Canis lupus familiaris: one gene and its partner. The protein of the gene in region 1 interacts with the protein of each later gene in a pairwise test. Links are inferred from orthologs where the notes say so. Each region holds a gene or a part of one and is shown on either strand. Other genes may lie near its edges.

Evidence for each region.
Region 2: the proteins of CREB3 (region 1) and CYBC1 interact in a two-hybrid assay, tested with the Homo sapiens proteins (2 studies listed by BioGRID and IntAct). The two-hybrid records come from large-scale screens. The link is inferred for Canis lupus familiaris from reciprocal best matches to the Homo sapiens genes CREB3 and CYBC1.

The regions. Positions count from the first base shown.
Region 1 is NC_049232.1:52,553,920-52,557,663, forward strand, and holds the start of CREB3 (cyclic AMP-responsive element-binding protein 3), read left to right. Parts: upstream 1-1,324; 5' UTR 1,325-1,720; coding exon 1,721-1,813; intron 1,814-1,918; coding exon 1,919-2,066; intron 2,067-2,155; coding exon 2,156-2,223; intron 2,224-2,337; coding exon 2,338-2,427; intron 2,428-3,744. UniProt on the Homo sapiens protein: Endoplasmic reticulum (ER)-bound sequence-specific transcription factor that directly binds DNA and activates transcription. Plays a role in the unfolded protein response (UPR), promoting cell survival versus ER stress-induced apoptotic cell death.
Region 2 is NC_049230.1:759,883-763,626, forward strand, and holds the start of CYBC1 (cytochrome b-245 chaperone 1), read left to right. Parts: upstream 1-1,446; 5' UTR 1,447-1,533; intron 1,534-2,047; 5' UTR 2,048-2,084; coding exon 2,085-2,169; intron 2,170-3,110; coding exon 3,111-3,152; intron 3,153-3,739; coding exon 3,740-3,744. UniProt on the Homo sapiens protein: Functions as a chaperone necessary for a stable expression of the CYBA and CYBB subunits of the cytochrome b-245 heterodimer. Controls the phagocyte respiratory burst and is essential for innate immunity.

The sequences.
Region 1 (3,744 bases):
TGGTGACCACAGCAAGAACACTGGATTTAGAGAACAGAAATAAAGAAGCTAGAATCCCAGATACCTGCAATTCTAGTTGAAGCCCAGATCCCTAACCTGAAATGAGTTTATCCTATCTCTGGGCTAGAGAACCCCTGAAACTACGTAGGAATGAGACCTCCCTGCAAAACGAGAGCACCTACCTACTGCCAATCTCTTAAATTCAATATATCCAAGGTCAGCTACCCTAACCTCAGCCATAACCCCCATAAAACTAACCCTAATCCCTAATATTAACCCTGACCCTAATTTGGTTCCTGTTTCCCAACACTGGCTTTGACATTCATCCCTTTCCTGGCAGACACCCGTCCCCAATCCTTGATCCCTAATATTGATCTACTTTTTACCTCTAGGAATGAATTTCCTGACCTTAACTCTAAATGTTGATCTCTAAGCCTAAAACTGTTGTCTCACTTGACTTCTGATCCATCCCTTCGCGATTTATCCCTAGTTCCATGCTAATGTTCTCTAATCCCTAAAAAACTGGACTTCTAATTTAAATCCTGTGTTGACCCTTAAACCGGCCCTGAACCCTAACTTTGACTTACGTTGGCCAGAAACAGAATAATGACCTAATCCAAACTCTACCTACATAAAACGGACCCGACTCACACTGGTAACTCTAAATGTCAACTCCGGTTTTTAACTCCGTAAGCTAACCTTTAATTCCTAAACCCAACTCTACCTAATTCCCAAACTCACCCCCAGCTTTCCTACCCGCATACTCACTATCAGCTAACCTCAAAGCCGATCCCCGCCCTGCGCCTCACTGTCACCCAACTCCTCACCCTCCCCAAAACTTATTCCAGACAGAGAGGACTTGATCCCAGGAAAGGCTTGGCTCCCTTAAAACGACCTACTTAACTTCCGATCCCAAGCCGAGATACACTGGACGCTGACCTCTCCAACAGGACCCGAAACAGCGGACGCAAGGGCCCCGCCCGCCCTGCCACCCGCGCTGCCACCCGCGCTCGCGCTCGCTTCCCGGTCCTGGCCGTGCGGCCCCACCCTGAGGCTCCGGCTCGGCCCGGTCCGGCCTACCTGCGCTGCCCGGCTCGTGCCCCGCCCGCCGGCCCGATAACCCGCTCGCTCTCCCGGTGGTAATCGGGCTTCGGCCTCGCCCTCCCTTCGACACTCTCTCGGCCACTTCCGTCCCCGGAACGTCCCCCACCCGCGGGCGGCGCCCTGGGCCCGCGCTCTATGGTTGTGGGGGCAACAGGAAGCTGCTCTGGCCCCAGCTCTCGATGCTCGGGAGCCGGCCTTAAAAAGGCGCCCCCCCCCGCCCCCCGGCCGGCTCCCCCGGCAGGAAACAAGGGTGCGGCGCAATCCGGGAAGACGCCCGAACTGCGCGCGAGTTCCCCTTTGGTCTCTAACCCTTCCTTTTTTTTCAGCCTGGGGCCGAGGCGGAGGCGGCCTCCCAGATTGCCCGCCCTCAGGGTGTGAGGAGGCCGCAGGGACGTCCCCTCTATTTGCAGAGCTCCCGGGACGTGGCGCGCCGCGGCTAGGCCACTTCCGCGTCGGAGGGAACTCCAAATCCCGTGGTGCCTCGGGGGTGTGCGCGTCACTTCCGTGGTGTTGGAAGTTGCGGAGAATCGGGTCTTGGGGGCTGGTGCAATTTCAGAGCGACAGGTCCGGGCTTGCGGATAGGTCTCTCTGTACATCTTTCCGGTTGTTATCCGGTATGGAGCTGGCGTTGGACTTGGGTGACCAGGACCTGCTGGATTTCCTGCTAGAGGAAAGCGGCGATTTGGGGGCCGGGCCGCCGCTTTCCGAGGTGGGTGGGGGCTGCGAGCCGGGGAGGCGCGGGGATCCCGGGAGAGCGTTCATGGGGTGGTGGGTAGTTGATAGGTCAAGGCTTGTTTATTTGAACCCTGTGCAGGCGTTGAGTGAATGGGAGGCAGAGGATTTCCTGAGTTCCATGCTGAGTCCCCCAGCATCGTTGAACGTCCTTAGCTCCTCTGATTCCTGTCTCGTGCACCATGATCACACCTACTCTCTCTCACAACAGCATGTTTCCATAGATCTAGGTGAGTCTGAAATATGATGAGGAAGAAAGTGAGGTTTGAGGGGAGGAGAGGCTTCGTGGGTCTGGCTATTTATACTTTTCGTTTTGCAGATGGTGGGAGCTATGGAAAAGAAGAGGCCCAGACGACCCCACTGCAAGTGGAGGAGCCCGCAGAGCAGGTACTTGATTTATGGCGGGATCATTCCCACATTGCGCGGGTGGGGGCGGATTCCCCATTCCTTTCTGTCATCCCCTTGCAACTCTGCTGCCCACCTCCTGGTAACTAATCCCAGGAGATTGCTAGGCTGATACTGACAGATGAAGAGAAGAGGCTGTTGGAGAAGGAGGGGCTTACTCTGCATGGGACGCTTCCTCTTACTAAGGTAAGACTCCCATTGGTGGGAGTGAAGGCTGGAGGGATGTGTTGTGGATCCCAAGTGTGCACTTCTGTTAACTTTATGTCAGGAAGGACTGAGGTTAGAAAACTTGGCAAATTTGTTGGTAATAGGAAGCTGGAGCATGATGTTAATATGGTGGATGCAGAGGCAGATCCTGGTTTTGTGGGGCTCATACAAGTTTTGGTGTTTTCTTTGAGAAGAATTCAAAATCATCGATGCAACATTAGTGTAGGGTCTTGGAAGGGACTGTGCAAGCAAACTCATGGTAATCCACCTGTAGCTAAATGGTTAGAGTTCATCAAGGCTGGACTAAGTAATATAGCAAGAATAATTGTAAAATCCCAAGTTTTAAGTTTCAGGCAATGAATAGCAGCTTCACAAGCACAGTATTGTGGTACTGTTGTGAAACCAACACTACAGGAAGGTTGAGAGAATTTTCTTAAAAGTACAAGATGGGTTAGTTTGAGATGACAGAGAGTGGGGTTTGAAGGCTGTATCAGTAGAGGTGTTGCCTCTAGAAGGGCAGTGACCATCTTCTTCTCCATTATACTGGCCAGAGCACATCTTAGTGTCTAGTTTTGAACCCAGATCTTTGACAGATATTAAGAGGATGCAGTCCATCCCGAAGAGAGGTGAGAAGTTAATTTTTTTTTTTTTAAGATTTTACTTATTTATTCATGAGAGACACACAGAGAGAGGCAGAGACACAGGCAGCGGGAGAAGCAGGCTCTATGCAGGGAGCCCGATATGGGACTTGATCCTGGGACTCCAGGATCGTGCCCTGGGCTGAAGGGAGGTACTAACCTGCTGAGCCACCCAGGCATCCCGAGAAGTTAAAATTTTTGCCCAGATCTTTTAACTCTGAAGAAATGTTAAATGGCTTAAATTAAAGACTGTTCATTCTGGGATCCCTGGGTGGCTCAGCAGTTTAGCACCTGCCTTCAGCCCAGAGCGTGATCCTGCAGACCCGGGATCGAGACCCACAGCAGGCTCCCTGCGTGGAGCCTGCTTCTCTCACTGCCTGTGTCTCTGCCTCTCTCTCTCTGTGTGTGTGTCTCTCATGAATAAGTAATAAGATCTTAAAAAAAAAAACAAAAAAAAAACCTTCATTCTATATGGTCTCAGAGATAGGTACCAGGTAAGTTCAATTGATAGAAATCATAGAGGCAGATGTCGGTTAGCTTAGGATAAGGAAAATTTAAAGATTTTTTTTTAAAGGTTTATTTATTTTAAATCTTTTTTTTTTTATTTTTATTTATTTATGATAGTCACAGAGAGAGAGAGAGAGAGAGGGGCAAAGAC
Region 2 (3,744 bases), on another chromosome or scaffold:
AAAAAGAAAAGAATGCAAGTAAGTGTAACAAAGTAGAATTTCCTGGGTCTCCTCTCAGTTCTACCTAAATCCTGAGGAATAAGATCACTTCCAGCTGCAGCAAGCAGGAAGGACCTAAAGGAGGTACTAACAATTCAAATGCACCTTCAAGATAGGGAAGGGGAGTCTTCCTGGAGGAGACAGAGTGTGAGCTGAGGGGTCAGGGAGCCCGCTGTGCTCAGGCACAGCCCAGCTCTGCTGCAGCTGGGGTAGATGGTCTCAAAGTGTGGGTCCTGGACCAGCGGATTAGCAACAGATGACGTTGCAGCCCCCTCCCACCACTAGGAACAAGTGCCAGCAATCTGTGCTTCCACAAGCCTGCCAGGTGATTCAGATGCCTGCCCAGGTTAGGAAGCCACGGGCAGAGAGAAGCTGAAGCAGATGGGTCAGGTCGCGTGCCTGTGTTGGTAAGCCTCCTGGGGTTACGTGTACCCGTGCACACACGTTTCTCTGTAAGGGACTACGCGTTGCACTAATCTTACGAAGGCTGTAAAACATGTTGAGAATAGGAAAGGGACAAAGGAGAAGAGAAGCTCCCCTGTTCTTCCAACATCCCGCTGAGGTGGTGGGTGGGGGCTCCTCCTGACCGCAGCCAGGTGATGGGGTCCTGCTCGGGTCCTCACCTGCGGCAGTAAGAGAAAGTGGCATTTGGCGGAGGGAGCAGGTGGGCCTCCTACGTGGCCATCGCAAGGTTTTCCCGGAGAAAACTGCCTTTCCCACGGCAATCCTTTGTGGACAGGCTAGCCCGCGAGAGCCGGGCCCGGTTCCGGGAGCCTCGGCGCCGCGGCAGTCACCGCAGCGGGGCTCATTTTTTATGACGACTTGTCAGTGCGTGAACAAGCTATTCATGCTCCTTCGATGTTACTGAAGCTTTAGCATTTTTGCCAGAGCTGGTGCACGTGTACTGTTAGATTATCTTCGCTTTTTGTTTATCGATTTTTTTTTTTTTTTTAAAGATTTCATTTGAGAGCAAGAGGGGCTGGGTGGGGAGGTGCGGACCCCGGGGTCGGGACCTGAGCACACGCTCCACCGACTGGGCCACCAGCTGCTTTGATCAACGTTTTATTTTTATTTTTCTATTTTTTTAAAGATTTATTTATTTATGATAGAGAGAGGCAGAGACACGGGCAGAGGGAGCAGCAGGCTCCATGCGGGGAGCCCGACGCGGGACTCGATCCCAGGTCTCAGGAATCGCGCCCTGGGCCAAAGGCAGGCGCTAAACCGCTGCGCCACCCAGGGATCCCCTGATCAATGTTTTAAGGGAGACTTTTGAGGCCCAGTTTACCTTTCCAGGCTTCCTGGGGCGTCGCTCCCGCGCCCCGAGGCGCCGGCTCCCCCGCCGCCCTCCGCCGCGGGCGCTGCGGCAAGAGGCCCCGCCCCGGAAGTCGGGCCCGCCTCGCCCGGAAGTCAGCCGTCCCGCCCCCAACCCCGGAAGTGGGCGGCCCGCCGCGCGCCGCGAGGTCCCGGCTCAGCGCCCGCGGGGTCGTGTGTTCGGTAGGCGCGGGGGTCGGGCCGCCGTCGGGGCTGCGGGCGGGCTGCGGGCGGGCTGCGGGCGGCGCGTGGTGGCGGGAGCGCCGGGCGCGGGGGCCCTGGCTGTGGGGAGCCGCTGACCCCCGCGCCCGCCGCCGTTCGGGCAGCCCGGTGCCGCGCCGCGGAGCCCACCCTCGGTGCGTGCGCGGAGAGCCCGGAGCCCCGCCTGCTGGGTGCCAGCCGCGTCCGCGCGCCTCGGTCCGCGGGCCGGCAGCACCCGCCCCCGGCCCCTCCCCCCTTCCCCCGTCGGTCCCCCCTCCCCCTCCCTCCCCGCCGATCCCTCCCCCCGCCCCCCCGCGCCTCGGCCGCCCGAGGACGCTCGCAGTTCCCTTTCTTGGCGGGGACCGCGCGCTCCGGGAGGCTGCGCCGGGGCGAGGCTCGCGTGCTGCTGGGGCCGCGGGTTCCCGGTGCCCCCGGGCCGGCTCCCCGCGGGCGGGCGGTTGGACCCCAGCCGCGGTCTGCCCTCGCCCTTCCCCAGCCCGTCTGCGTCGGAGCGCTGCCCGCCCAGGCCCGGGATGTACATGCAGGTGGAGTCCCGCAGCAGCTCCTGCCTCCATCTGAAGAGGGCTCCGGGCATCAGGTCCTGGTCTTTGCTTGTTGGTAAGGATTTCCGTATTTCCCCCAAGCTAAAAACCTAACTTTAAAAACACGGAAACAGGGATCCCCGGGTGGCACAGCGGTTTGGCGCCTGCCTTTGGCCCAGGGCTCGATCTTGGAGTCCCGGGATCGAGTCCCACGTCGGGCTCCCGGTGCATGGAGCCTGCTTCTCCCTCCTCTTCTGTCTCTGCCTCTCTCTCTATGATAAATAAATAAATAAATAAATCTTAACTAAAAAATAAAAAAATAAAAACAACGGAAACAAAACTGTCTTGTTGCCCCCAAGTACAACAATTATCTCATATCTTTCTAGCTTTTATCCTCCGTGCGATTGTCCTTTTTCCACCTTCACCTTAAGGTTGTGCCTGTTCTCCCGAGGTCCTGGTGTTCTCCTTTTCCTTGCCTCCCAATGCCCGGGTGCGGGCGTCAGGCTGGGCGGTGGGCCCCAGTTCGCTCCTTCACTGTCCCTCTGGGCGTCCAGCACGCGGGGGCAGCTGCAGGCCATTGGTGGGCCTGGTGTGAGGAGTGGTGTGGCTGTGCCTTCAGCAGCCTGCCTCTGGTCCGTCATTCCCGACACCCTGCTCGTGGCCACCTGCCTGTAGTGCTTCATGTGCCACACGTGGTCCTTGCGCACATGCTGCGCTGGTAGAGTAAACCCCTGCTGTCCGGCTCCTCCCTCTGGTTCGCTGGTCAGCCCTGGAGCCCCAGGTAGAGGAACAGATTCCCGGAACGCAGAATGGCATTTGCCATGGTCCCAAGCGCGCCTCCTGCCTCTTGCCCTCCTTCCTGAGCCATGGTCTCTGGTTCCCCTGCTCCCCACCTCCAGGCACCCTGGCACCAGGAAGGCCTGCTCTCCCTGCACCTCTGGGCCTGTGGCTCCAAGTGAGGGGGCCCTAGGCCGCTGGTGGCCCAATAGAAGCACCTGCTTTCTTTTCTCTTTGCAGGAATCTTGTCCATTGGCCTGGCTGCTGCATACTACAGTGGAGGTGAGGTGCATCCCCCTGCCTCCCTCCCCTCCCCCCTCCCGCCCACCCTGTCACTTAGTCTGTTTGAGAAATAGAGAAAAGAGAGAGAGAACTCACCATTAGTGGTGCCCACTGAGCCCCAGCCTTTGGGGCCACAGGCACCTGTGCAGGTGCTGCCCCAGCCTGAGCACTGGTGCATCCTTCCTAATAGCCTGTCCCGTGCCACCTGTGCTCTTCCCTTCTCGTATCTGGAGCACTTTCCCTGGTGATGAAACTTTCTTAAAAGGTGCTCTTGTATTTGCCTGAGGCTGTTGCAGGCTAAGCCACACTTGTAGCTGCTCCTGCAGGTGGCTCCCTCCACCGTCACAGTCACACCGTGTCTCCAGCAGATGCTGCAGGGAGAGTGGAGGGCACAGAGCTGGCCGGACATTTCACATATGGTTCCAAGTGACAGGCAGGGCCAGCAGTGCCGGGCGGCCACCCTGGGCCAGGTCTGCTGGCCCCAGGTGCCACCCCTGCCCGGTATCGGCTGGCGAGGGGGCCCATGGCACGCAGGCCTCCGCCCGCTGCTGCTGCCCCTCACCCGCTGCCTGTTGTTTGCTCTGCAGATAGT